Linked DNA regions of Drosophila melanogaster. The protein of the gene in region 4 purifies or fractionates together with the protein of the main gene of each other region. This does not show direct contact. Each region holds a gene or a part of one and is shown on either strand. Other genes may lie near its edges. The genes, in order: Mcad, Kap-alpha3, Gfat2 and wal.

The links.
Region 1: the proteins of wal (region 4) and Mcad purify together in Drosophila melanogaster (affinity purification with mass spectrometry, with the first as the bait; one large-scale study listed by BioGRID). This does not show direct contact.
Region 2: the proteins of wal (region 4) and Kap-alpha3 purify together in Drosophila melanogaster (affinity purification with mass spectrometry, with the first as the bait; one large-scale study listed by BioGRID). This does not show direct contact.
Region 3: the proteins of wal (region 4) and Gfat2 purify together in Drosophila melanogaster (affinity purification with mass spectrometry, with the first as the bait; one large-scale study listed by BioGRID). This does not show direct contact.

What each region holds. Positions count from the first base shown.
Region 1 is NT_037436.4:7,716,719-7,722,462, reverse strand, and holds Mcad (Medium-chain acyl-CoA dehydrogenase), read right to left. Parts: upstream 3,114-5,744; 5' UTR 3,024-3,113; coding exon 3,006-3,023; intron 2,565-3,005; exon of another isoform or gene 2,404-2,564; coding exon 2,047-2,403; exon of another isoform or gene 1,987-2,046; coding exon 1,102-1,986; 3' UTR 991-1,101; downstream 1-990. Other genes in the region: CG7457 (uncharacterized protein), read left to right, coding at 1-565.
Region 2 is NT_033777.3:9,572,846-9,579,267, forward strand, and holds Kap-alpha3 (karyopherin alpha3), read right to left. Parts: upstream 4,889-6,422; 5' UTR 4,803-4,888; exon of another isoform or gene 4,763-4,802; intron 4,629-4,762; exon of another isoform or gene 4,465-4,628; 5' UTR 4,423-4,464; coding exon 4,363-4,422; intron 4,304-4,362; coding exon 3,923-4,303; intron 3,863-3,922; coding exon 3,032-3,862; intron 2,968-3,031; coding exon 2,791-2,967; intron 2,725-2,790; coding exon 2,629-2,724; 3' UTR 1,639-2,628; downstream 1-1,638. Other genes in the region: CG9399 (uncharacterized protein), read right to left, coding at 404-444, 509-674; Son RNA binding protein, read left to right, coding at 5,335-6,422.
Region 3 is NT_033777.3:28,335,928-28,342,238, reverse strand, and holds Gfat2 (Glutamine:fructose-6-phosphate aminotransferase 2), read left to right. Parts: upstream 1-2,473; 5' UTR 2,474-2,692; coding exon 2,693-4,369; intron 4,370-4,571; coding exon 4,572-4,946; 3' UTR 4,947-5,220; downstream 5,221-6,311. Other genes in the region: Moca-cyp, read right to left, coding at 25-54, 780-867, 1,501-1,804.
Region 4 is NT_033778.4:11,687,331-11,693,126, forward strand, and holds wal (walrus), read right to left. Parts: upstream 3,534-5,796; 5' UTR 3,483-3,533; intron 3,415-3,482; 5' UTR 3,390-3,414; coding exon 3,348-3,389; intron 3,257-3,347; coding exon 3,116-3,256; intron 2,559-3,115; coding exon 1,749-2,558; 3' UTR 1,239-1,748; downstream 1-1,238. Other genes in the region: buffy, read left to right, coding at 131-406, 483-629, 690-998, 1,060-1,227; CG13197 (uncharacterized protein), read left to right, coding at 4,060-4,082, 4,170-4,245, 4,638-4,837, 5,169-5,215.

The DNA.
Region 1 (5,744 bases), on a different chromosome or scaffold from region 4:
GGATCAACTGAATAGTTGCCGGCTGGAGCAATTGAATCTCAGTTATGTGCGCTGGCCCCTCGACGATGCAAGTGGATTTGCGTTGAGTGAGCGCCTGGTTACGCTTTTCGAAGGTGGTACCTGCGAGCGATTTGTCGGAGTGCAGCTCGCTGGCTGCGGCTTGAACGATGCGCATATGTACAATATCAGCCAGCATTTGGCCAAAGCCAAACAACTACAGATGTTGGATATCAGTGATAATAGCAATTTAAGTGGAACTACTCTTGGATACATATTAGATGAACTACCTCAATTACGCGATCTTTTGGCCGTTAATTGTACAAATCTACTGGATGACATTCGTCTGCAAAAACTCGAACAACTAAAGCAGCTGCCCAGGCGCTTAGAATTAACAGTTGATGAGCAGGTGTTCTCCATGCCAGGAGCCCTGGAAACACTTCAGTCCATTTGGCAGCTGCAATTTGGAGACAAGGCCAAAATGTTGACCACATCAAATAGCCGGAAAATTGGAAGGCGGTACAAAGGTCTACTTAAGCTACTCGCTGATGGAAGCGATGCGGAATAGTGTAGTCTCATCATGTGTAAACCATTTCCTTGTGTTGTATGTCCCAGAGCATTTTTTATTGTTTGACAATTATATAGCAAATCTAAGTACAGTAAGTCTTATCGTTCAGTTGATAGCAGAACAGCGATTCGTTGAACCTAAGTAGAACAAACACTCAGCCCCCACAGGGCTTATCTTATCAATGGATGATAGCTAGCGAAATAATTTGCGATGGTCTAGACTCTACAATTTTGGGGGTAAGTGAGGGCAAGATTAGAGAAACTTGAAATATTAAGAATTAGTAAACATACTAACGCACTGACTGTTTGCTTACTTCTTCCTTCCTTTTATACACTTGAGGAATAAGTAATTCCTTAGAAATTACCAAGTGCCATTTATACAACATTTCCCTCAACAGACAAATCACAATCAATGATTTATATTTTCTTGTAATTATTTACTTATTGTACTTTATTAATCGGATTTGTGAATGTGTCTACAATGAGCATGACAACTGATGAGGTGAATGGAGATGAGGAATCCTAGTTAAAACTGACTTAGGCTTGACCCTTAGCAGCCTCGTACATGTTTCGGGAAATGATGAGGCGCTGGATCTGAGAAGTACCTTCGTAGATTTGGTAGATCTTGGCATCACGCATCAGCTTCTCCACGGGATACTCGCTGTTGAAGCCGTTGCCTCCAAAGATCTGGACGGCATCGGAGGCAATCTTGTTGGCCATATCGGCGGCATGGCACTTGGCAATGGAGGCATAGTAGCTGTTGCGGCGTCCCTGGTCGATTTCCCAGGCGGAGAGACGCCACGCCAGACGGGATGTCTCCACACCGATGGCCATATCAGCCAGCATGAACTGCACAGCCTGGTGGTAAGCGATGGGCACGCCAAAGGTCTTGCGTTCCAGCGCGTATTTAAGAGCCTCATCCAAGCAACGCTGGGCCAAACCCACAGCTCCGGCAGCAACTGGAGGACGCGTCTTATCAAAGGTGCCCATGGCAATTTTGAAACCGGCACCCTCGCCAATCAGCACATTTTCCTTGGGCACGCGCACATCCTCGAAGGTGATGCCACGCGTGTCGGAGGCGCGCTGTCCCATGTTCAACTCCTTGCGGCCGGGCGTTAGTCCGGGACTGTCGCGCTCCACAATGAACCCGGTGAAGGCCTTGCTGGGCGGGCACTTGGGATCCGGATTGGTGCGGGCCAGCACAAAGTACCAGTTCGCCACACCACCGTTGGTGATCCACATCTTCTGGCCGTTGATTACCCACTCATCACCCTTCTTCTCGGCGCGTGTCTTGATGCCGGACACATCGGATCCTGCTCCGGGCTCTGTAACACAATAGGCGGCGACAAGTGGCTCCTCCAGCAGGCGGCCCAGGTACTTTTTCTTCTGTTCCTTGTTACCGGACAGGATCACAGGAGTTTGCTATGAAAGAACGTGGCGTTTCGATCATCTTGCCGTAAATAGACATGACTTTAAACTTACGCCCAGACCACTAGCCTCTAAGGCGGTCATGATGCCAGTGCAGCCATAGGCCAACTCCTCGGCCGACAAGCAGGTGGTGAACACATCGAGATCCAGGCCACCAATATCAGCAGGAATGTGGTTGTTCATCAGGCCCAGTTCCCAGGCCTTCTTGATGATGGGCCACGGGTACTCGCCGCTCTTGTCGTACTGGGCGGCCACCGGGATGATCTCCTCACGGGTGAACTTACGTGCCAGTTCCTGCAGCTGCAGCTGATCCTCGGTGAGTGCGAAAGAGGTGCCATTGGGCGAAACGTGTGACACGGCGGCGTAGGCGCGACTTTGGGACACCAACTGGCGCAGGGCAGGCGCAGCAAGCTGGATTTTCGGATATTGGATATCGGATTTAAAGTCAACTGGTAAACAAGTGTTTATCGAAATGCAAAATGAAAATGTAGAAATAATCAGAACAACAACAAAGTTGACCGCGAATTAATCTTAACTACAAGCAACAAATAAAATGGGCCAACTACGTATGTATTTAATTAATACAACATCATGATCATAGACGAAGGTTTTTTTTATATTTACAAGGGACTTTGGATGTTTGAGGTTCATAACCAACCATCACATTCTATTTTTTTCATAAAACAGATAACGAATATGCCTGCCCATAAAGTTTGCATTCCGATTTAAATAGAGTGCACGATAAGCCGCCATTAGACGCCGCTAATAATACTTTCTCAGGGGGGGCAAAGTACAGATGATTGCTAACAGATAGGCAGCAACAAATTGTTTTCGAAACGGAACCCACTCGAATATATGTTTGTTGGTAGGTACATATGTATATGTATGTATGATCCTACGATCAACAGTTGCTGTCGTCACTAGCGTGATAGAACTTTGGACCTTTGGATATGATATGTCCCAGCGATGTGTTTTTCACTTTCTCTGCGTTGTAAATTGACTGATATGCTCACCTTGTTGAGGAACGCCATTTGAATGTGGGTTTATTTTCGTATTTTCCTGAGTTTTAACTAGGTCGCCTTGCTAACTCGTCGGTGGCTGCCAGCGAAATGATCCAAACGAGTTGCCGATGCGCCGGTATAGCGATGTTATATATGTACATACATATGTACATTGGTTCATCGCGATATGGCAGCGACGCTTGGACATTGGACCTTGTTGCGCTGGCAGTCGCAAAAGCTACAGAATCGTGGTGACGAACGAACTACAAGCATATGCACCTACAAATATATGCAGGAGGTTGAGATAAGGGAAGATTTCGCAGACATTTGTATGCGCTGTTGATGGAACTTTCCCAAAGCTTTTCGAAGAGTTAACAAATTTGTTTGTACCTCGCCTTAATTGTAATATAATGCTTATATAAATAAATTGTATTGTAAAATATTTTTAAAATACCAACTGTACATTTCATCCAGGTTTTGTCAAGTACATAGGCATATGTGTATGAAGAGACACACCCCCTTTTTTAAGATATCAATGTACCACACGAAATACCCTACGAAATAAGCTTAATAAAACATAGCTTTAACGTAATGCCCAGCAATCTACGTAAGGTAAAAGCTTTCAGTTCACAACGTAACGTATTGCTTCTGGGCAATAGGTATAAAATAATACAATCGGGTATATTAGGCTTGAAAATGTTCGTCGGCAGAGGTCATTGAGGGATAATTCATATTAAATAGTAATATACTATATTTTGGTTAGTTTAGAATAAAATGTAGAGACAATTAGATAATTATAGGTTTCATTCGCTTTAACTTTTTAACCCCATTTTTCCATATTCAAAACATTTAAAACATGATTTGATATGTTAAATAATAAAATAAGAACCAACAGGATAGTCCCTAGTCGTTAGACTTCGCTGCCACCTGTTAGGTGCTTAACAATCGGAGCATACTTTCCCGCTTGACACAAATAGACGGAACATGTTCCTCTGGCTGTTTTAAAAATAACAGATTGCAGCCCCGCCTCCCAGCGACAAAAAAATCTCCAGCGAAACGAATTGGAAATCCGTGACACAGTTGACAGGCAGATATAAAAAACAGAGCACTACGTGGCGCGGCACGAAGACATCATTAAATCAGCATCCGCAGCCATCCAAAGTCGTAATCAGCCGTTGAAGCGAGTGGTATCTCTTATCAGCCAGGCCAGGCGCATAAAACTGGGTCCGGTTAAAGCTCTTCCGCCACGACGAGGACGAACGCGCACAGCCGAGCTGGAGCCGAAGTGGTTCGGGTGGTGCGATGGCGGGTGGCGAGTCCTGTGGCGTCTAAGGCCCAACTGGGATAGCTGCTCCTAGTCAGTCATTTGACATTGCTCCTGCGAGAAGGTTGTCCACGGTCCGAGCCCAAATCCTCCGTCGCCCACAACTCGTCCGCAAGCCAGCCGTAGTGTGTGTTTTTTTGTGCTACCCACTCCCACTTTTGGGATACATATAAAAGTGCCACCCCCGCCTTCCCAAAAAAAAAAACCGCCTCATAGAGGAGTGAAATTTTAAACAAGTGTTACCTAAGCCCAAACCTCAAAGAAACCACAACAAAAAGGGAGCAGTAGTTGAAGGTTGCGGCAAAATGGCCCAGTTTGTGACCCACATCCAGCCAACGCTGATGGAGGCGTCCCAAGGTCATGTTCCTCACCACCACGGACATCAGGTGGGTGTGCAGCACTCGTCGCATCTGCCCCACAGCGGCCACAACATGCCCTCGCCGCCAACCCACAATCACCATCATGCCCACGGACATGGTCATCATACCAGCAGCGGTGGTCATCATGGAGGAGCAGGTGGCCATTCACAGAAGCAGGCAGCGCATCATAGCACCACCTCCGGCCACGCCGCCAAGGGACAGCACCACAGCCCACCGTCGAGGATCCATTCACCGCCAACGGAACACCATCCGGATCATGTCGGTCACTACGAGTACTTCCAGCATCAGCACGAGCAGATCTTCCACCATGAAGGAGCAAACGGTGGTGCCAGCCACAAGCAACAGACCCACCACCATCCCAACAAGCACGAGCACTGCCCCACAGGACACCAGAGTGCGGTGAGTTGTCCTGCCTAGGATTACATCATTGGATTGGGATCTGGGGAATGGGTTGGTTCCCTTTAATACAGATGGTCACGTGATCAGAACTCCAGGGGACAAAGTTAGAGGTCACACCCAATTGCCTAAGGAGTGGGTTGCAGTCCATAAAGTTTAAATGACTTTAACAAGTTTTCACAATCCTACGATATCCATGTTTATCCACTTAAAGGTTTAAAGCTGTAAGTCAGCCAACGTTGGGTATGTATCTGTTGGGTTATAATTAGGCCTGGCATATCCCTTTTTCATCTTCTAGAAAGTACATGCTGAAGTACATTTTAAGGTCACATATCAACTGGTTAAAGTAACTTAAGTTTTTAATTCAATTTGATATCAAAGGACTTTTAGTTTTTCTATGGGATGTATCATCCTTTCTTCACTTAACTACCGAATACAATAACGTATAATCACGATAACCCCGTGTCAACTCTTGGTCAATTTGGCCATGATAACATCTTTAAGCTTTACCCAACAGTTGGATTCCCATATGAATCATCCCTGAAAGTGACAATGAATCACAACTTTTCGGGCCATAATCGCGACCATAATCTTGGAGCAAAAGTGTAACACATCTCATGCCATCCCAGCAGTGACGCAATAGTAATCCTT
Region 2 (6,422 bases), on a different chromosome or scaffold from region 4:
TTAGTGCCGCTATGGGAGATCTCAACTGGCTGTTCTTTGTTTTATTTATTTGTGGCTTGATATATGTATGTACATAAGTATGAGGCATCTATATGCCTACTATCGAAACAAACAAACTAACTAAATAAATCAAAAGTTTTTGATTTTTTTGGGAAACTTTTTTTCATAGGGTTCCACAACAGAAGGCAATCCGCTCACGAACACAACCGTATGCGGTTGTTATCAAGCGCAGGTTGCTCGAAATAATCAAATAATTTCATTTAATGGCACCTGCGCTCAGATTTGTCTACCGTCGTTTCGGATTTATGGTGAACTATAGTATGTGTGCGATAATGAAAATCAGCGAAGGTCGTGCGTTGTCCGAGTTATGTAATCCCATCCGTCTGGCTTTCTGTCTACTTACCCATTTGAAGACGGGTGCCCAAAAGAATATCGTCTTGGGACCTGGAATCAAACCGAACCTAAAGATGTGCTCTTTATGTAGCATAGTGGTCTATGTGAGGCTTACCAGCTGGATGCATCCACAGTGGCCGCAGCTTGGCGGGCACAAATTTGTCGGCGGCGCCAATCATCCCGTTGTACAGCTTGGAGTGGATGCCCTTTCCGGCGGAAGGGACGGCCGATGGTGGCGGCGGGGGAACGGGCGGCGGTGGCTGAACGGCTGTGGACGACATTTTGTTGTTGTTGCTATTTGTGCGAAAAAATTCCACGGGTTGCAGTGATGATAATTTATGCGTCCAAACTCGTTGGCTGGCAATCACAAAATAAAATCTACTATGAAACGCTAAACAACAAAAGCCAAAAAGCTTCGTGAGAGAGCGAAAAAGACAAAGAGAGCAAAAGAGAGAGCTAGCACCCACACAGCCGCAAACTCGAACAGCTGAGCGCGCTATTTTCTAACGTGTTTAATTTGACACGTTAAGGAAATACCTATACAATTGTACCTACAACTCGTACTTGACTTTCTAAAAAGTGCAAAAATCATGCATTCATCTTTAGGAACAGGTTTTTGCACGATCACAGGTTCATTAGCTATCGCACAACATCCTTGACCTTGAGGAGAGTGTGCCAATTTCCGCAATTTCCGCAGCAAAATGTTGACGGAAGCAAATGTGTCTGAATCGAATGCATCGCTACCAATACAAGTGCAGCATCTCTATAAATAGCAGGCAAATGCAAGTTTTTTAGGAGTCACGCGACAACAGTGATGCGCCATTTTTCACTAATACAAAAAAATTAATATCTAAATCTTATATTTATTAAATCTCACAGGAAATGACGTATTAAAACACATACAATTACACAATTATAAAAATAATTTTAGCACCGCAACAGCTGGGGTACTACAGCTAGACAATCTGCCATCTCAAATTCTAGTGTTGGTAAACGTTGTCCCGCCTGCATATATAAGTCAAAGTATACTATTTTCGAAAAATTAGGTAAATTTCAGTAAAAGATTTGTACTGCACGAGCTGGAACCACTTTCATAAAGTTAACTTTCATCACAGAATTCGGAATGTCCTATAAATAATTATAGAAGCCCATGTAGATGATGGGTAAGTTACACGTAAATATTCTGAGTAGTTCCAAAAACAACCGCCAGGCGAAACTTTCTTTATATGAAAGAACGAATATGTAAAAGTAAAATGAAGAGCTATTTATTCCCACACTCCTCAAGATTTAAAAGTAAAACATACATCACATCACTCAACTAAATCTAACTGATTTAAAGTATCCTATACTGTATACAGAACACTAGCGAAACTGATGCTTTGCAGATAAGTCATTAATACAATTTGATCCCTCAATTGAGGGAAACGCCCAGTCCCTTCTGTTGCAATCCGAATTCGATTTTCGATCTGATTGTTTACAAATATTTACTCGATCTGTTGCCATGTGAAAGCCGATTTTTCAGCTGCCCTGCCAGGTAGACGGGCAATTGCGCATTAATGGGAAACGTGCTCAAGTGACGCACTAGCTGAAATAAACGCTAATTATTAACAGCTCGGCCGACGGACAACTCGAATGCCTGGTCTTGAAACGCGACACACTTGTTCTTATAAAATTCCGCTTAACTTATCTGCCTGGAAACAAAATGATGAGTTGCCTTTTGCTTTTATCGTTTTCATGTTAGAAATGTATACATATGTAATTTCAATTACAAATCAGAAGCGTAAATATTTAAATAATTTCATATAAATCAAATAGGTCTACATTCTTTTTGAAATCTGTTTCTCATTCCTGTGTTTATATTTTGGATGATCTATAGCAGAGTCGCTTCAATCGGAGAAGTCCTTGCATTGCACATTCACACACCCAAGAGTGTGTGTATGTCTGAATTTTGTAATTTTGTTAACACAGAATTGAGAGAAGCTAAAACGGCTGCAGCGGATTATCCGTTGTGTATCCTCCAGAGTTCCTATTCTCGTCCCTAAAACGAACCCGGCTGTCTAATTGCTGCTGTGTGGTGGACAAAATATAATGCTATTATTATGTGAATTGGTTGACGGCTCGTCGGGCTTGTTCATACACAAGCGATTGTGTACGAATAAACGCCAAATTATGTGGTGTTGCACGTGTTTGGTTTTCACTTCACTGCTACTGCGCGGCTGCTTTCTGATTAAATCGTTAAAAGTTAAATGAGTTCATCGTTAGCCTATCGGCGTGTGGATCGAAATTGTATTGTGCGCCGTCGGAGGTCGGTGCCATGTTAGTCTGTTCGCCCTGTAAAGGATGCATCAAAAACGTTTTAGAATAATAACAAACGGTTGACTTAAACTGTTAGCTCACCTCATCAGTGAAGTATTGATCGATGATCTCATAAGCTAGTTTGTAGATTTCAACGTTTTCGTGGCTCTGCAGACGCTCGATCTTGGCCAGGCCCTCGCATTCCTCAATGCAGTTGGCCACCGCCTCAACATGAGAATCGGCCACTTTTAACATATTGTTCAGACCATCCAAAACAACCTTTAAAAAAAAGGGGAATGTGTTACTCAAAACAAATATGTGAAGAGACGCAAATTATACTTACATTTATAACTTGCGTATCCTGGCATGAAAGGAGGTCACAGAATGGCGGAATGACGCCCTCCTTGATCAAGGTGAAGACCTGTTCGCGGTTGCCGCTAATGGTCAGATTGCTGATGGCCCAGGCAGCCTCCTTCTGTGTCTGGAACTCGCCCTTGCTTAGGTTCTCGATAATTTTGGGCAGGAGACCCACGTTAATAACGGCCTGCACCTGCGATTGATTTCCAGCGGTTATATTGGAAAGGAACCAAACCGCCTCCTTTCGGATCTTCTCCTTGGGATGCGAGAGCAGGCCCGGGAAGTAGGAGAGCGCGTCGTAGTTGAGCACAACCTGTGTCTGCTCATCCGATCCAGTCACAATATTGCCAACAGCCCGCAGTGCGGCTGTCTGTACCTTGACCTCGCTGTTGCCCAGCAGTGGTATCAGCTTGGGTACAACTCCACTTTCAATGACCATCTGGATCTGATCGTTGCCACCGTCAGTCAAATAGCTGATGGCCCAGACCGTGTCCACCAGGATGTTCGTGTCGGTGTGATGAATGAGCACATTGAGTGCGGGCAGGATCTCATGAATGGTGGCTGTCGGGGGAGCCGGATCCTTGTTGCGGCACAAATTCACAATAACCCATGTTACATTGCGCAAGAATGTGATGGGGATGTCTGGCTTGATGAACGACAAAAGTGGCTGCACGACTCCGTGCTTAATGACAAAATCGCGGAGCAAAGGACCATCGCCTATGATGTTGCCCAGGGCCCACACGGCTTGTTCGCAAACATTGGGAGCGGGCGAGTTGAGAAGTTGAAGGAAGAGCGGCACGGCACCGGCGGCAACAACCTATACAGGATTATATTGCATTAAAACAAAGAAAGTGCTGAGAGGGAAAGCTGAACGTACCTCGTTGGTCTGAGCCGATGTGCCAGAGGCAATGTTGGTCAGGGCCCAGGCGGCCTCGAACTGGAGCATTGTGTGATTGTGTTGTTTGAGGCACTCCACCAGGATGGGCAGAATGTCGCTTTGGATCAGATCGTTGATGGGTGGATTCTTGTCCGACGACAGCAGCTTGCGGGCAGCCTGAACAGCGGCCAGTTGCTGTTCCGGCTTGGTGGCGTCTGCGGCTGCCTTTGCCAGCTTCTTCAGGTCAATGGACGAGGACAACTGCTCCTCCTCATCTGTGTTCGAGTCCAAATTGGGCACATTGCGACGCTTGAGAATGGTCTCTTCGCGCTTGTTCTTCCTCAGCTCAACGGTGACTTCATTTCTCCGACGTCGCATTTCCTGCAAATTAATTAATATTATAATGTTTCCCATTTCAGCGGTAACTTCTAACTACTCACATCCTGGTCTTTCCCTTTGTTTTTGAAGTTTTGTAAACGATTTTGCTCCATAGACGTCATTTTGTCTGATTTCCTTGTATAAGGGTTTGCTTTTTCGATTGGCTGTTAAAAAGTGAGTTTTTAAAAACTATTGAATGCGATGTTGGCGACGTACGCCTCCTAGCGTATTCGATGAACAATTAATAATTTGTTTCAATTGCACACCAGCCAATGGGAAAAATTATTCGCACCCACACCAGCGCACATCCACGAAAAAATAACGTAGAATCGACCAACACAGTTGCAGCATAACACGATGGCGCAGGCATTGAAAAAAGGAAATGGCGAAAAAATACATGAAAATTAGCAATGCAACGGGCGAAAAAAGTGTTTCTCTTGGTCCTCGGTAGAGGATACTTACGTTTTTAGCAAGTAAATCGGGTTTCTCCCACGACACATACACTTTCTACGTCTTTTAAAAGTGATAAAATTCTTTCCTTTTTATTAAAATTGCAATCAGTGACAACGACGTGAGTGAAGTTGGCTGCGGTTGGCAATTCGGGACTGCCCACTTATAGGCAGGGTCGATTGAAGCACCAATCGTCAGATCTGAATTTATGTCGACTTATTTTTTAAATTTAGAAATTTTAAGTTTACTCAGTTGGAGTTGTAAGCTTATGAACCAGTTGAACATTATTTAGGAAATATTTCATTTGTCTTAAAAAGCATTATAGCAATTCTTATTATTTAGGTTTTTTCAAGCAGGCGCTTGTCGTGACGGTACTATTACACAACTCTAGCAAAGTATCGATATCTTTGAGCCCTGCGAACTGTAGATACCATTACGAGTGTCATCGCTATTATTGAAACTTCTGTCCAAGCAAGACGTGCAGAAAAACGCTTAATCGCGAACAGCGACAAATTCGCTGATCTGTTGCGGTAATCTATTAGCATGCATAGACACTAGGACGATCCGCGCCCAGCGAGAGAGCAATGACGGAGAACACAGAGAAAGGGGCGAGCGTAGAAACGCCTCAAGTGGCGGGGTCTCAGACAAATCCTCCGGTTCAGGAGCCACTTGCACTGACCAAGATTCCGCCAATTAAGGTAAAGAGCGAACGACCGGACGCAGAGGTGGAGGCCAAACTCCGGGCCATGAATGCCAAGATCAAGGCGGAGATGGTGACTTTGATGCGGAGGAGCAACAGCAATGAACTGGGCAACAATGACGAGTCGGGGGAGAGCGAGAGCTCCGCGTCGGCGGACGACAAGAAGAACATTAAGCCTGTAAAGTCCTCGAACGAGATCCTTGCCGAGCTGTTCGGCGTATTCAATGCCGCTCCACCAGAGGAACTTCTAGACGACAATCTGTTCAAGAAAAAGAAAAAGGTGAAAAAGGAGAAGAAGGATAAGAAGGCCAAGAAAAAGAAGACGACCAAGTCAGATGGCGAATGCAGCGACTCGGAGGCGGAAGGCAAGCACAAGCATAAACGTAAGAAGCACAAACATAAAGACATCAGAGTCAAAGACAAGGAGAAGGATCGGGACCGGGACAAATCTAAGGAGAAAGATCGGGACCGCGTTACGGACAAATCAAAGGAGAAGGATCGGGACAGGGACAGGGATAGGGACAAATCCAAAGATAAGTTTACGGCAGCACAAGCTCCCTCCGAGAAGGAGAAAGAAAAGTCTGAGAGCCGGAAGCGCAGCGCTGTGGAGCCTTCCAGTCATTCCGAAAAGCGCGAACGACATGAAAGGGAGAAGCATCGCGACTGGGAACGAGAAAGGGAACGGGAAAAGGAGCATGAAAGGGAACGCGTCCGCTCCAACAATAGCTTTTACAACGGGCAACGTGAAGCGGATCGCTTGAAAGGATCTGAATCAGCGAGCACAAAGTCACGGCAGGAACAAGATCTCTCCGATATCTCGCTCTCCGATGAGGAGTCGTACCTCCGGGAGAAGGCTTCCAACGGCCGTAGACGGGCGCACAACAGCTTTTATGATGAAAAGGAGGAATTGTCGGTTTCACCCAAGCGTAACGTGCGCGAATCCAACACCAGGAGAAACCGAAAGTCAAGATC
Region 3 (6,311 bases), on a different chromosome or scaffold from region 4:
TTAACGTGTTCAAAGCTAACTTACTTGTCCAAATGTGGCGCAGGCTGTGTTGTACTACAATGAGAAACAGAAGAAGAGAAAAATATTCTTTACACTTTGGCTAACTGGTTGTTGGGCTGCAGTAGGCAGTTGTAGTTGAAATCGGTGTTGTTGTTGTTGTTTCAGTTGTTGTTGTTGTTATTGTTGTCGGTTGTGGCGGAGACAATGTCATGTGCAACAAAGTTTAAAGGTTTCTAGGTGTGTAGGCAGAGGTGGCACACAGGATTTTGGCAAGCCACCAACCGCAAGAGCCGCTGCCGCTGGCCATGGCCAGCACATTGTCATCTGGCAGATCCATCGTGAGGATCCAGCCCAAGATTCCCGCAAAGATCCACAAGGAGCCGACAGCGAGAGAGAGAGAGATTGAGACACACACTGAGACCCAGGCCCAGGGACCAAAGACCATGGAGCTGAAAGACCTGCATCGTCTTTCGCTTGGTTTTTGGACCCACAGACCAAATGCACTAGGGATGCTGGGATGGCGGTGCATCGGCCGATGGAGGACAGATTGCGATGCATCTGTCCGCTGGTCAGTGGGACGCTAGCTCACACTTTAACGCCCACGGGCTAAGGCTAAATGGCAATAGATTAATGAACAACAACAGTGGTTTAAGTATAGATCAAAAAGAAGACGAAGAGAGTTTAGCTGTAATATCGGTGCCTGAAACAGAACTGAAACTAAATTTACGGCCACGTTAGTCCGGACCAGCCGGTTACGGTCCTCCGTCGAGAGCACTTACATAAAGAACTGCGAGCCATTTGTGTTCTTGCCCCGGTTGGCCATCGACAGCAGGAAGGGACGATCGTGCTTCTTTTCGAAGCTCTCATCTGGAAAGAGGAATCGGATTGTTTAAACCAAATTCACTTTAAATGTTACTTTAAAGCCCAAGAGAGATGAGCAACTCAAGTTATCTTCTAGATAACTTTTTAATGCGCATGTAATTGGATTTCCCAAAGCCGCTTCTATTTGCATATTTGTCCCATTTTCCACCCAAACGTATAATTAGCAATATGTAGATGTATGATGTGCACCATTCCCTTATCTTTCTAATGGAAATATTTGCCAAAATGTAAATTTAAATTGAGTCGCTTGAGTAAACATTTATTTTTGACATTTAAATGGGGCATTTGTACACTTTGGCTGGCATATCAAAAGCGTTTTAATTTTTTTCGACAAAGATTAAACTTAAGTAGATTATTGTAGTGCAGTTTAGATGTAATTGGCTGGAAGTTTTTAAATCTCCAAATGTGGGTGTCTGTATTTACAGTGTTTTTATTACATTTCTCCCCCTACTGACTCTTTATTAATTGCACTTTAAGTACCCTGTATATTCCCTTTCGTTTTCTGTTCTTCTTATCAGATAACCACTGTATTGATTTTTTCCCACACAAACAGCAGCACACACACACAAGCGTGTATGTATGCATGCAGGCATCGAATCGGAAGCCGGAAGAACTCACCCTCGAACGTCCCGCCGTAGATGGACTCGCCGCCGGTGCCGTTGCCCGCAGAGAAGTCGCCCGCCTGGACCATGAAGTCCTTGACCACCCGGTGGAATATCACACCCTTGTACTGCAGCTTCTTGCCGGTGATTAGGCCAAATCCCTTTTCGCCCGTGCAGAGTGCGCGGAAATTTTCGGCCGTTTTGGGCGCCACATCGTTGAAGAGCTCGAAGACAATGCGGCCCATGCCCAGGCCGCCCAGGGAAATGTCAAAGAAGCACCGCGGTCGCGTGGCACCCGCGTCGCGTTTGTTTACCGTCATTATATGCGCCGATTTCTGCCAATAAATGCTGTTTAATACGTATTTCACGCCGTTTTCGAGTTGCACAATGTCGGCGTTGCCAGCTCTACTCAGAACTAGGGATGTCAAAAACATACAGTTAGAAATATCGATGTGCAATATGCTTAGCATATTTTCGGGTATCGATATATTAATTTTAATATATATATTTTCTTAAATTTGTTAATACATACATATGTACGCTCAAATAAACGGTAAACTTTGAGCTATATATAGTCAAAATACACCATTGATTACTCTCAGCAACCAATAATCATTTTATGCTTTTTGGTATAACTTCCAAAACCTTTAGAACATGGGTTGAAAATATTATCTTCAATGCTCATATTTTTGGGAAAAACAGAATGTCGTTTAAACCAACTATGAAATGAGATCTGGCCTTTATGGTCATATTATATTAAGCTTTTTCAGACAATTTACACAGTTAACATCTTTGTATATAGCTTTAAAAGTTTATTATATTATTCAATACATAGTAAAAAAATAATTTATTAAATTACCGTTCCATCCCTGGCTGCAATACGGTCACACAAAGCCAATGTTTACATGGCAGCTCGCGTGTGGCTGTAGCTGTGTGCGTGAGCGAGAGCGCAAGAGCGGCGCGTGTGTGCGTGCGAGCGGGAGAGCAGGGCGAAGACGTGTTCTTTTCGCCGAAAAAGCAAATAATTGGGTTGGTTTATCAGAGAAAAACAAAAAAAATTCCAGCCAGTGTCGCGATAAAAACACGACAATCGCATTGCAGCCGCCTCAGAAGTGTAAGATCAGCCTCAGCTGACCGGAAAGTTAACATTGCGACGTGGAAAACCACGAATCACCAGCAAATTTCAGCAAAAGCAATCGCATTTCAGAATGTGTGGCATATTCGCGTACCTAAACTACTTGACGCCCAAGTCGCGACAGGAGGTCCTGGATCTCCTGTTGCAGGGACTGAAGCGGCTGGAGTACCGCGGCTACGACTCCACGGGCATAGCCATCGATGCGCTGAACTCTGGCGAGGCACAGTCCATAATGCTGGTGAAGCGCACCGGGAAGGTGAAGGTGCTGGAGGATGCGGTGGCGGAGGTGTGTCGCGGCCAGGACTACTCGCTGCCCATCGACACCCACATAGGCATAGCACACACGCGCTGGGCCACCCACGGTGTGCCCTCCGAGGTCAACTCGCATCCGCAGCGATCCGATGAGGATAATAGCTTTGTGGTGGTGCACAATGGCATTATAACCAACTACAAGGATGTGAAGACGCTGCTGGAGAAGCGCGGATATGTATTTGAGTCCGACACGGACACGGAGGTGATTGCCAAGCTGGTACACCACCTGTGGCAGCAGCATCCTGGCTACACTTTCGGCGAGCTCGTGGAGCAGGCCATTCAGCAGCTGGAGGGCGCCTTCGCCATCGCCTTCAAGTCGAAGCACTTCCCGGGCGAGTGCGTGGCCTCCAGGCGAGGCTCACCGCTTCTGGTGGGCATCAAGGCCAAGACCAAGCTGGCCACCGATCACATACCCATCCTGTACGCCAAGGCCCATCGGCCACATGGTCAGCCGCAGCAGCAGGCCTATCAACTATTGCCGCCCGGCGATTGCAACGCCGAGTTTCAACCGCTGGAGCGCAAGGAAGTGGAGTACTTCTTCGCCTCGGACGCATCGGCTGTTATAGAGCACACGAATCGGGTGATTTACCTGGAAGATGACGACGTGGCCGCCGTCAAGAGCGATGGCACGCTCAGCATTCATCGCCTAAACAAATCATCCGATGATCCGCACGCCCGCGAGATCATCACGCTGAAAATGGAGATCCAGCAGATCATGAAGGGCAACTACGACTACTTTATGCTGAAGGAGATCTTCGAGCAGCCGGAATCCGTGGTCAACACCATGCGCGGCAGGATGAGGTTCGATACGCAGACCGTGGTTCTGGGTGGCATCAAGGAGTACATACCGGAGATCAAGCGCTGCCGCCGCTTGATGCTAATTGCGTGCGGCACATCCTACCACAGTGCGGTGGCCACCAGGCAGCTGCTGGAGGAACTGACCGAACTGCCCGTTATGGTGGAACTGGCCTCCGATTTTCTGGACAGAAACACGCCCATTTTCCGGGACGACGTGTGCTTCTTCATCTCCCAATCGGGCGAGACAGCGGACACCCTGATGGCGCTCAGATACTGCAAGCAGCGAGGAGCGCTCATCGTGGGCGTTACCAACACGGTGGGCAGCAGCATCTGCCGCGAGTCGCACTGTGGCGTCCACATCAACGCTGGACCCGAGATCGGAGTGGCCTCCACGAAGGCCTACACCTCCCAGTTCATTTCGCTGGTTATGTTCGCCTTGGTCATGTCGGAGGATCGTCTCTCGCTGCAACAGCGCCGCTTGGAGATCATCGATGGCCTATCGCAGCTGGACGAGCACATTAGGACTGTCCTCAAGCTGAACTCGCAGGTGCAGCAGCTTGCCAAGGAGTTGTACGAGCACAAGTCGCTGCTCATTATGGGCAGGGGCTTCAACTTCGCCACCTGTTTGGAGGGCGCACTGGTAATCCATTTGATAATTTGAGCTATAATTTAATCGAATCTCATTTATGCATCGTAATGCATGCATGGGAACGTAATGATGGAAAATAACCGATGTCAACAATTCACTTAACTTGTTTATTTGCCAAGTGCACTTAAATTAATTATTATGTTTGTCCCACGCTTCATGAGCTGAATTTAATCAATTAACTTGCTCATTGCAGAAAGTCAAGGAGCTGACGTACATGCACAGCGAAGGAATCCTGGCTGGAGAACTGAAACACGGACCACTGGCCCTGGTGGACAAGGAGATGCCCGTGCTGATGATCGTGCTGCGGGATCCGGTGTACACCAAGTGCATGAATGCACTGCAGCAGGTGACGTCCCGCAAGGGCAGACCGATCCTAATCTGCGAGGAGGGCGACAACGAGACCATGTCCTTCTCCACGCGTTCGCTGCAGATCCCGAGGACCGTGGACTGCCTGCAGGGCGTGCTCACGGTGATTCCGCTCCAGCTGCTGTCCTACCACATCGCCGTGCTCCGCGGCTGCGACGTGGACTGCCCCAGGAACCTGGCCAAGTCGGTGACCGTGGAGTAGGCGCCCCAACTATCTGGCTAACTGGCTCGCACCGTCTCAAGAATTCCATTTTAGTATCTGCCTGAGAAAAACAAAACAAACCCTAGCACTTAAGTTAAAATTTTCTGGTATTTTGTCGGATCAAAATCCGAACCCTTAACCCATTTGTGCTCCTTCTGGCTGAAGCCACATATGTTTAACCCCTACATTTGTAGCTGTACTGACCCTTTGTGTTGTGGACCCACTACTTTTTGTGAATGTGCAATTGAAATATAATTATTTCCAGTTTTTCTTTAAAAGTGTTTTGCTGCTTTCAATTAAAAATGGATTGGAAAATGTTTAACCAGTAAATTTGTTTGAAAACGGGAAAAACCAAACAAAGATCTATATGTACCTCACTTTACAAAAAATGCTTATCTGACATTAAACATTTGTTTCAAATGTTTAAAAAACGAGGGCCACGTCACGTTATTGCTTACGTTATGTTAATCACGTTGTAAATTTTAGAAAAAGAAAAATTACATATATATTTAATTCTGATAAAACTAAATAAAAATAAATTCTGATAAAAATAAATGATATTCCGAGCACTTAAGTAGTGTGAAATCGATAAGCCGCATAAATTTGAATGTCCTATTTTCAATTTCAAATCAAGTGGTAAATGGGGAAAAAATAAGTTTGTTCTCGAAAAGTAATTCTTTCTGGAAGATATTTCAAAATCATATTTAAAAACAACATTAAATAAATTAAATCAGTTGCGAGCCGGTTGGGACATCTCTATTAACCGTAGCTATCACATCGGTCGATATCTATCGCAACGCAACGCAAACGAATTGAACAACAACCCTGCTCTTTTTCTTTTGGACCCGTAGAACCACATGTCTGGTAACCGATTTTGATTTTCGTTTCGGCGGTATAATGCTCCAATTAATTGACTAATTGCGGTTAATTGACAAGACAAGTGAACGGCGCAAGTACGGTGCAACCAATAACGCAGCGAGTGTGTGTGCAATTGCGAAAAAACCCGATAAATAATATTCGTAACGTTCTGCCCAGCAGCGCGTGAGTGAGTGCGAGCGAGAGGCAGTGATTCGAGGTGCGTAGTGGTGCGAAAGTGTGTGTGCAAGGAAACCCGCAAAAGCAAAAGCAAAGCAACAATAACAACACACGCACGCACACACACACTTGTGTACGTGTTAACACGCGGAGCGGAAAGTGCGTAGTGAACATACGAAACGTACGAAACAAGAAGTGGGAGAGATAGCGGAATAAAATACAATTCTTGTTTCCATTTCAATCTCCTCTGGTGCGTATTCAAATCAATCTGAACCTTAACTTGTGTATGTGTGTGTGACCGCGTGCATCGTTTTGAAATTCGAGGCGAGC
Region 4 (5,796 bases):
CGTGGGGGGGATTGTTAGAAACTTAAACTGGATCCTCAGCCAGTTGATATATGACTTAAGTCTCGCCACCTCTTGCCATACTTATAGGCGATTTCCCTCAGGATCTCGAACGATATCGGTTGCGCGAAACATGCCCGGCACCTCGTATCCCACGAATAACGATAATTTCAGCAACGGATTTCCGATGGCCACCACACAAAGTGAGCGCCTCTTGCAGGCCCAGAATCGAAGAAAGTTCAGTTTTCCAGCCACACTACATTCCGCATCACTACTGGAGGTTGGTGGTGGTCCCAAGGAGACCACGAGGCGTAGGTTGAGTAATGTCAGCGATGCCGTCACCAGGAAACTCTCCTACACGATTGGCTGGAAGGCGGCACAGATTCCAGCGCAGGATATCATTTCTCAGGTGAGCTGGTAGACGAGGAATTCCTTGCACAAACATATAATATCGCCTGATTCCAAAAATCATAAAAAAACCGAAGGGTCGTTGCCTGTGCGGTCATTATATCAAGAGACGCCTCAGAAGATCTGGTTTGTTCAACAAAAAGCTGGGACTGCAGCGCATACGTAGCATACTGGGCTCCACCTCCATGGGCATTGTGCGCGATGTGTTTCCAGCGGTCCAAGTGGTAAGCAAAAAATAACGCTTTATTTTATTATATTAATCATTTTACACACCTTTGCCCAAGCTGGGCGATGAACTGGAGCGCATGCATCCCCGGATATACAACGGAGTAGCTCGTCAGATTTGCCGGAATCCGGGTGGTGAGTTCCATACTCCGGATGCTGTGAGCTTGCTTTTGGGAGCCGTTGGTCGCGAGCTCTTCCGGGTGGAGATTACGTGGAGCAAGGTGATCTCTCTGTTCGCCATCGCCGGTGGGCTGTCCGTTGATTGTGTACGCCAAGGACATCCGGAATACTTGCCCAAGTTGATGGAGAGCGTTTCCGAGGTGATCGAAGATGAGCTGGTTCCGTGGATTAACGAGAATGGTGGTTGGGTGAGTTTCTCCGATCATTTCATAATTGTCGAGGTTTCATTTCAATGATTTTCCATTTTAGAGTGGCATCAACACACACGTTTTACCCACTACCAACAGCCTGAATCCTTTAGAGTGGACCACTTTGGTTATAGGCGTAGTTTTTGGCCTAATTCTAGTTTTTATGATTCTGCGATTTATATTTAACTTGATTGTACCAAAAATATACCAACGATTTACGAATTCCTAAACATTTTGTTTATTAAGCGTAAAAATCCTATTGATTTGATCTATAATCTTTTTTTGTACACAGTTTTCACATTTTCACACTTTTTAAAAAAGTTCGCAATTGGCGAGAAAGCTTTTTGATGCTTTTAGCTACAATTTGTTTTGGCTTGATCAGCTTTCTAGTATAACTAATTTAATTAATAAAGCTCTCATAAAAGCTTCTTGAAAAATAAATATACGATGGGAAACTGATAAGGAAACCAAATCCTAGACTAGGTGCAATCTGCAATGCCAGTAAACAGTTTATCCTAGTTGAATTTTGGTTATTGCTAGCCCTGGGCCTTTTTTAAATATTTTGCTGATTTAAACAGTTGCACTCAACTGATAAGACTACAATTTTCACATAGAATAGGTCTTCGGCTTGTTTTATTACAAAATTTAAGGGAAAATCTTCCACGGACTTATGTCAAAATTCAAATAAATGCAACAGTTATCAATTCATCGGTACACAATCTTTATACTACAGCAAGTGACAATCTCGCCTTACAACTTTCCGGTTAGTTCGGGCACGGCCTTGAAAAGATCTGCCACGATGCCAATATCGGCGACCTGGAAGATGGGCGCTTCGGGATCCTTGTTGATGGCCACAATCGTCTTGGAGTCCTTCATGCCAGCCAAGTGCTGGATGGCGCCTGAGATTCCGACAGCGATGTACAGCTCGGGAGCCACAATCTTGCCGGTCTGACCGATCTGCAGATCATTGGGCACAAATCCAGCATCCACGGCAGCACGAGAGGCACCCACAGCGGCACCAAACTTATCGGCCAGATCATACAGCAGCTTGAAGTTATCTCCGGACTTCAGGCCCCGTCCTCCGGACACAATAACCTTGGCTCCGGCCAGCTCGGGGCGATCGGACTTGGTCAGCTCCTGGGATACAAATTCGGACAGGCTGCTGGCGAAGTCACCAGCTGGTGCCTGCTCCACGGCTCCACTTCCACCGCTGGTGGCTGCCGGTGGGAAATTGGTGCTCCTTACGGTGATCACCTTAACGGCGTCCTTGGATTTCAGGGTGAGGATAGCATTTCCGGCGTAGATAGTGCGCACAAAGGTGTCGTCCGACTTAACATCGATGATCTCCGAAATGGGCGACACATCCAGCTTGGCCGCCACGCGTGGCAGCACGTTTTTGCCGAAAGCCGAAGCTCCGGCCAGGATGTGGGTGAACTTGAACTGAGACTGGGCGGCCAGGACCAATGGGGTCAGCGACTCCGCGGTAAATCCGTTGAAGGCGGCATTTTCGGCCACCAGAACCTTGGTCACGCCATCCACCTTGGAAAGAGCCTCGGAAGCCTGGAAAACAAGAGAGTGATTATGTAAGATTATCTATCGCACCAAATACTTATGATCAGTGGGAGTCGCTCTTGGGTGGTTCGATGCTTTATAATTTAAATGTCTTGGTATTTTAAAATGGTCATCTATTGAAATCACTTTGCTCGGCATTTTTGAAATATGGTTACTATATATTGTATCTAAGTAAGGGTTCACCAATCCAAAATCAAAACATTTTTTTCTAAATTTTTAGTTAGTTTTAATCTAGTATGAAAATTGGAAAACTGGAATGTAGCAAGAGTTAAGTGGAAAATAGATTGGACCCTTTTTAAAGTGTACTTATAGTCAGAAGTATATAATCAAGGTTAACAATTCCTATCTCTTAGATGCAGTATTACCAACAACTCAAAAGTCTTGTTTTCTAATGAGATATGTTTATATAATCCTGTGCCGGTTTGATTTCTACCAGATCGCAAAGGTCTTAGGATGCATGTTCAGCCTATTTGATTAGATTCGTTGATGATTCGAAATCCCTGCGAATGGAACCACCCTAATGTGAGACTTCTTGGGGGACTTACGGGTCCGCATTTTGTGCCTGCCACCAGAACTGTGACGTCACCACCGATCTTCTTGGCCGCAGAGATGGTGTTCAGGGTGATCGGATTGAGTACCTCATTGTTGTGCTCAGCCACCACCAAAGTGCTCTTGCATCGCTGCAACTGCAAGTGGGAAAATTGATATTTTGTTATTTAATTTTTAGCGATCACCGCCTGCGCTTTTTTTTTATCTTTTTAAGAAATTTCCACTCACAATGCTGCTGCGCATAAGATTACGCGTGTTGCTGGCGAACATTTTGGATGTTGGATGGTTATTGGAGCTATCCACGCGAGGGAAAATTGTTGTTTGATTAATTTAAGTCCATTAATATTTAATTAAAACTCTTACCTTCGCTGTAAAATCACAGAAAGTCCAAAGGTTTCCGCTGATTTAAGCGTTTGCCGTTTTTTGGTACCTCCTAGCCAATACACAACAGCTGTTACTTAACAGATGGAGCAACAGATCTATGTGAACTTTAAGCAGCAGGAACTTAAGTGAAAAAATGAACATATATAAAATATAATCTTGGAATTATTGATTAATGGACTTATTTAATTTAATTTTATTATCCATTTAAAAAAATATGCAAGCCGATTAATATTACTAGTCATAAATTTGTAAAAGAGCTTAATGAAGAATGAAGTATTAAAAAAATTACATTTATTATTAAATAGAAACATTAAATATAGATTATAAATGTTATTACTTCAGTTAAAGAGCGAATGAGCGAGAGTTTTAAAAATAATCGTGACCAGTCACAGTTTAGCTAACAGTGTCAACTCAGCAGCATATGTTGAGTAATCTCTTAAAGTAATCTGGCAACACTGGAATAAGAATTATTTCTTTGCAAAACATTGTCAACAATTTTGAAGAACTTCGAAATTTTATTTTTAAATTTCGGTAAAAGGTTTGGCGAACAGACAAAATGGTCAAGGACATACCAGACAGGTGAGTGCAGTTTAGGAGAATATCCCAAAGAAACCCGTGTTGTTTATGCTGGTCATTTTTTCATGTTACTTTTTGTACCAATTGCAGATGGCTGAAGTACAAACCGATTGGAGATCGTGTTCCTGGCACTCGTTTCATAGCCTTTAAGGTGCCGCTGAATCAGGTGAGTTCCCGATGATCCTCCGCCCGCCCAGTGGCGTACCACACTCCATCCGAGATCCAAGAAACCGGTTGACAGGAGAGCCGCCAATTGATGGATGTTGAAAACCCAGGATCTGGACCACCGACTGAGCGGCCCTCTAAAAATATAAATAACAACGAACGACGACGAAATTTGTGCATTGTAATTATGCATAAAAGTGGCAACTGGAACATGGACCCCACATGAATATTAAATTAAATTGTTTTTGCTTAATTAAATAACGCCACGGATCCACGGCCTTTATTAATTGCCAGCCCTCCGGGCATTTTGCATAAATTGAGCAATCTATGGCCGCCCATTGTAATGCCCTCGTATATTTGCTCAGCTCCCTTCTTTTTTTTTATCTTTTGCAGCATGTCAACGCCAAAGTGAAGGAGAATCTTCGGCTGGCGCCCGAATCCCTTCTGCAGATCGTACCCGATATGGGTCTCATCATCGATTTGACCAACACGAATCGATACTACCACCCAAGTGCCATAACCAACCACGATGTGCTCCACCAGAAGCTGATGATCCCCGGAAAACAGACACCCTCGCATAAGCTAGCCCAAAGGTAATTATGAATTTAAGCAACTATTAATAGGAAAATTTATTAGCTCTGGTTCGAAAATGTTGTAATTTTGGAACATGGTTTGGATAAGTCTTCATCTTCTTATTATAAGAACTATATTGTAGGCAATGTTCCTAATAATTACAATATTAATAATATTATTAATATCGTTAGTTGGATCGTTTTAATGCTCGCATAAATGTGGTTTTGCAATATGCATTATTTTAATTTTGCTTTGTTTTTGGAATGAAATGAAAAGAAATTCTAATTTGTTATTCAATCCAAGATATTACCAATTCATGTAATGATCCATCTCTTTCCTATGTCATTGCAGATTCTGTGCTTTCGTGACTGACTTCCTTGAAAGGAACGCGGATAATGGTGAGTGCTGACAATTCATCCCACACATCATGATCTTTGGGCGCACGCTGCCGTGGGAAACGCTTTCCCGTCGACAATGCAGATTCAGATGCATATCTGTCCACGCAATTAGGTCCGCAAAATATGCAAACAAATCGTATCAAAGGGGGCACCCGCAATTACCACGTATCCTAATCCCTGGCTGCACTGCCTCCAAAGATTCCTATCAGCCGGCAAGCACACAGCAAACATGGCCAAAGCGGTGAAATGTGCTCACAGCCAAGTGCCTCAAAAAAGAGAAATACTCTATTTAACCCTTTAACAGCCAGTTGGCGCACCGATGTGGGCGCGCACACACTCAATCAGTCAGCCAGCCAGTCAGCCAGTCAGTTTTTTTGGCCTTTGAGTTGAGCCCGAGCTTGAGGCTGTCTGCCAGTCGGGAGCCGGGCAAACAAATCACTTACGGAGCACGGAGCTTAGTCATGCCGTGAGTGGGGAAAAGGCATTTCCAATTATGCACAAAGGTATGCGAGGCCATCGGCAAGCATCTATTCATTTATATGTCTAAAATTCCAATGCATAAATGCAGAGAAGAAACTGGA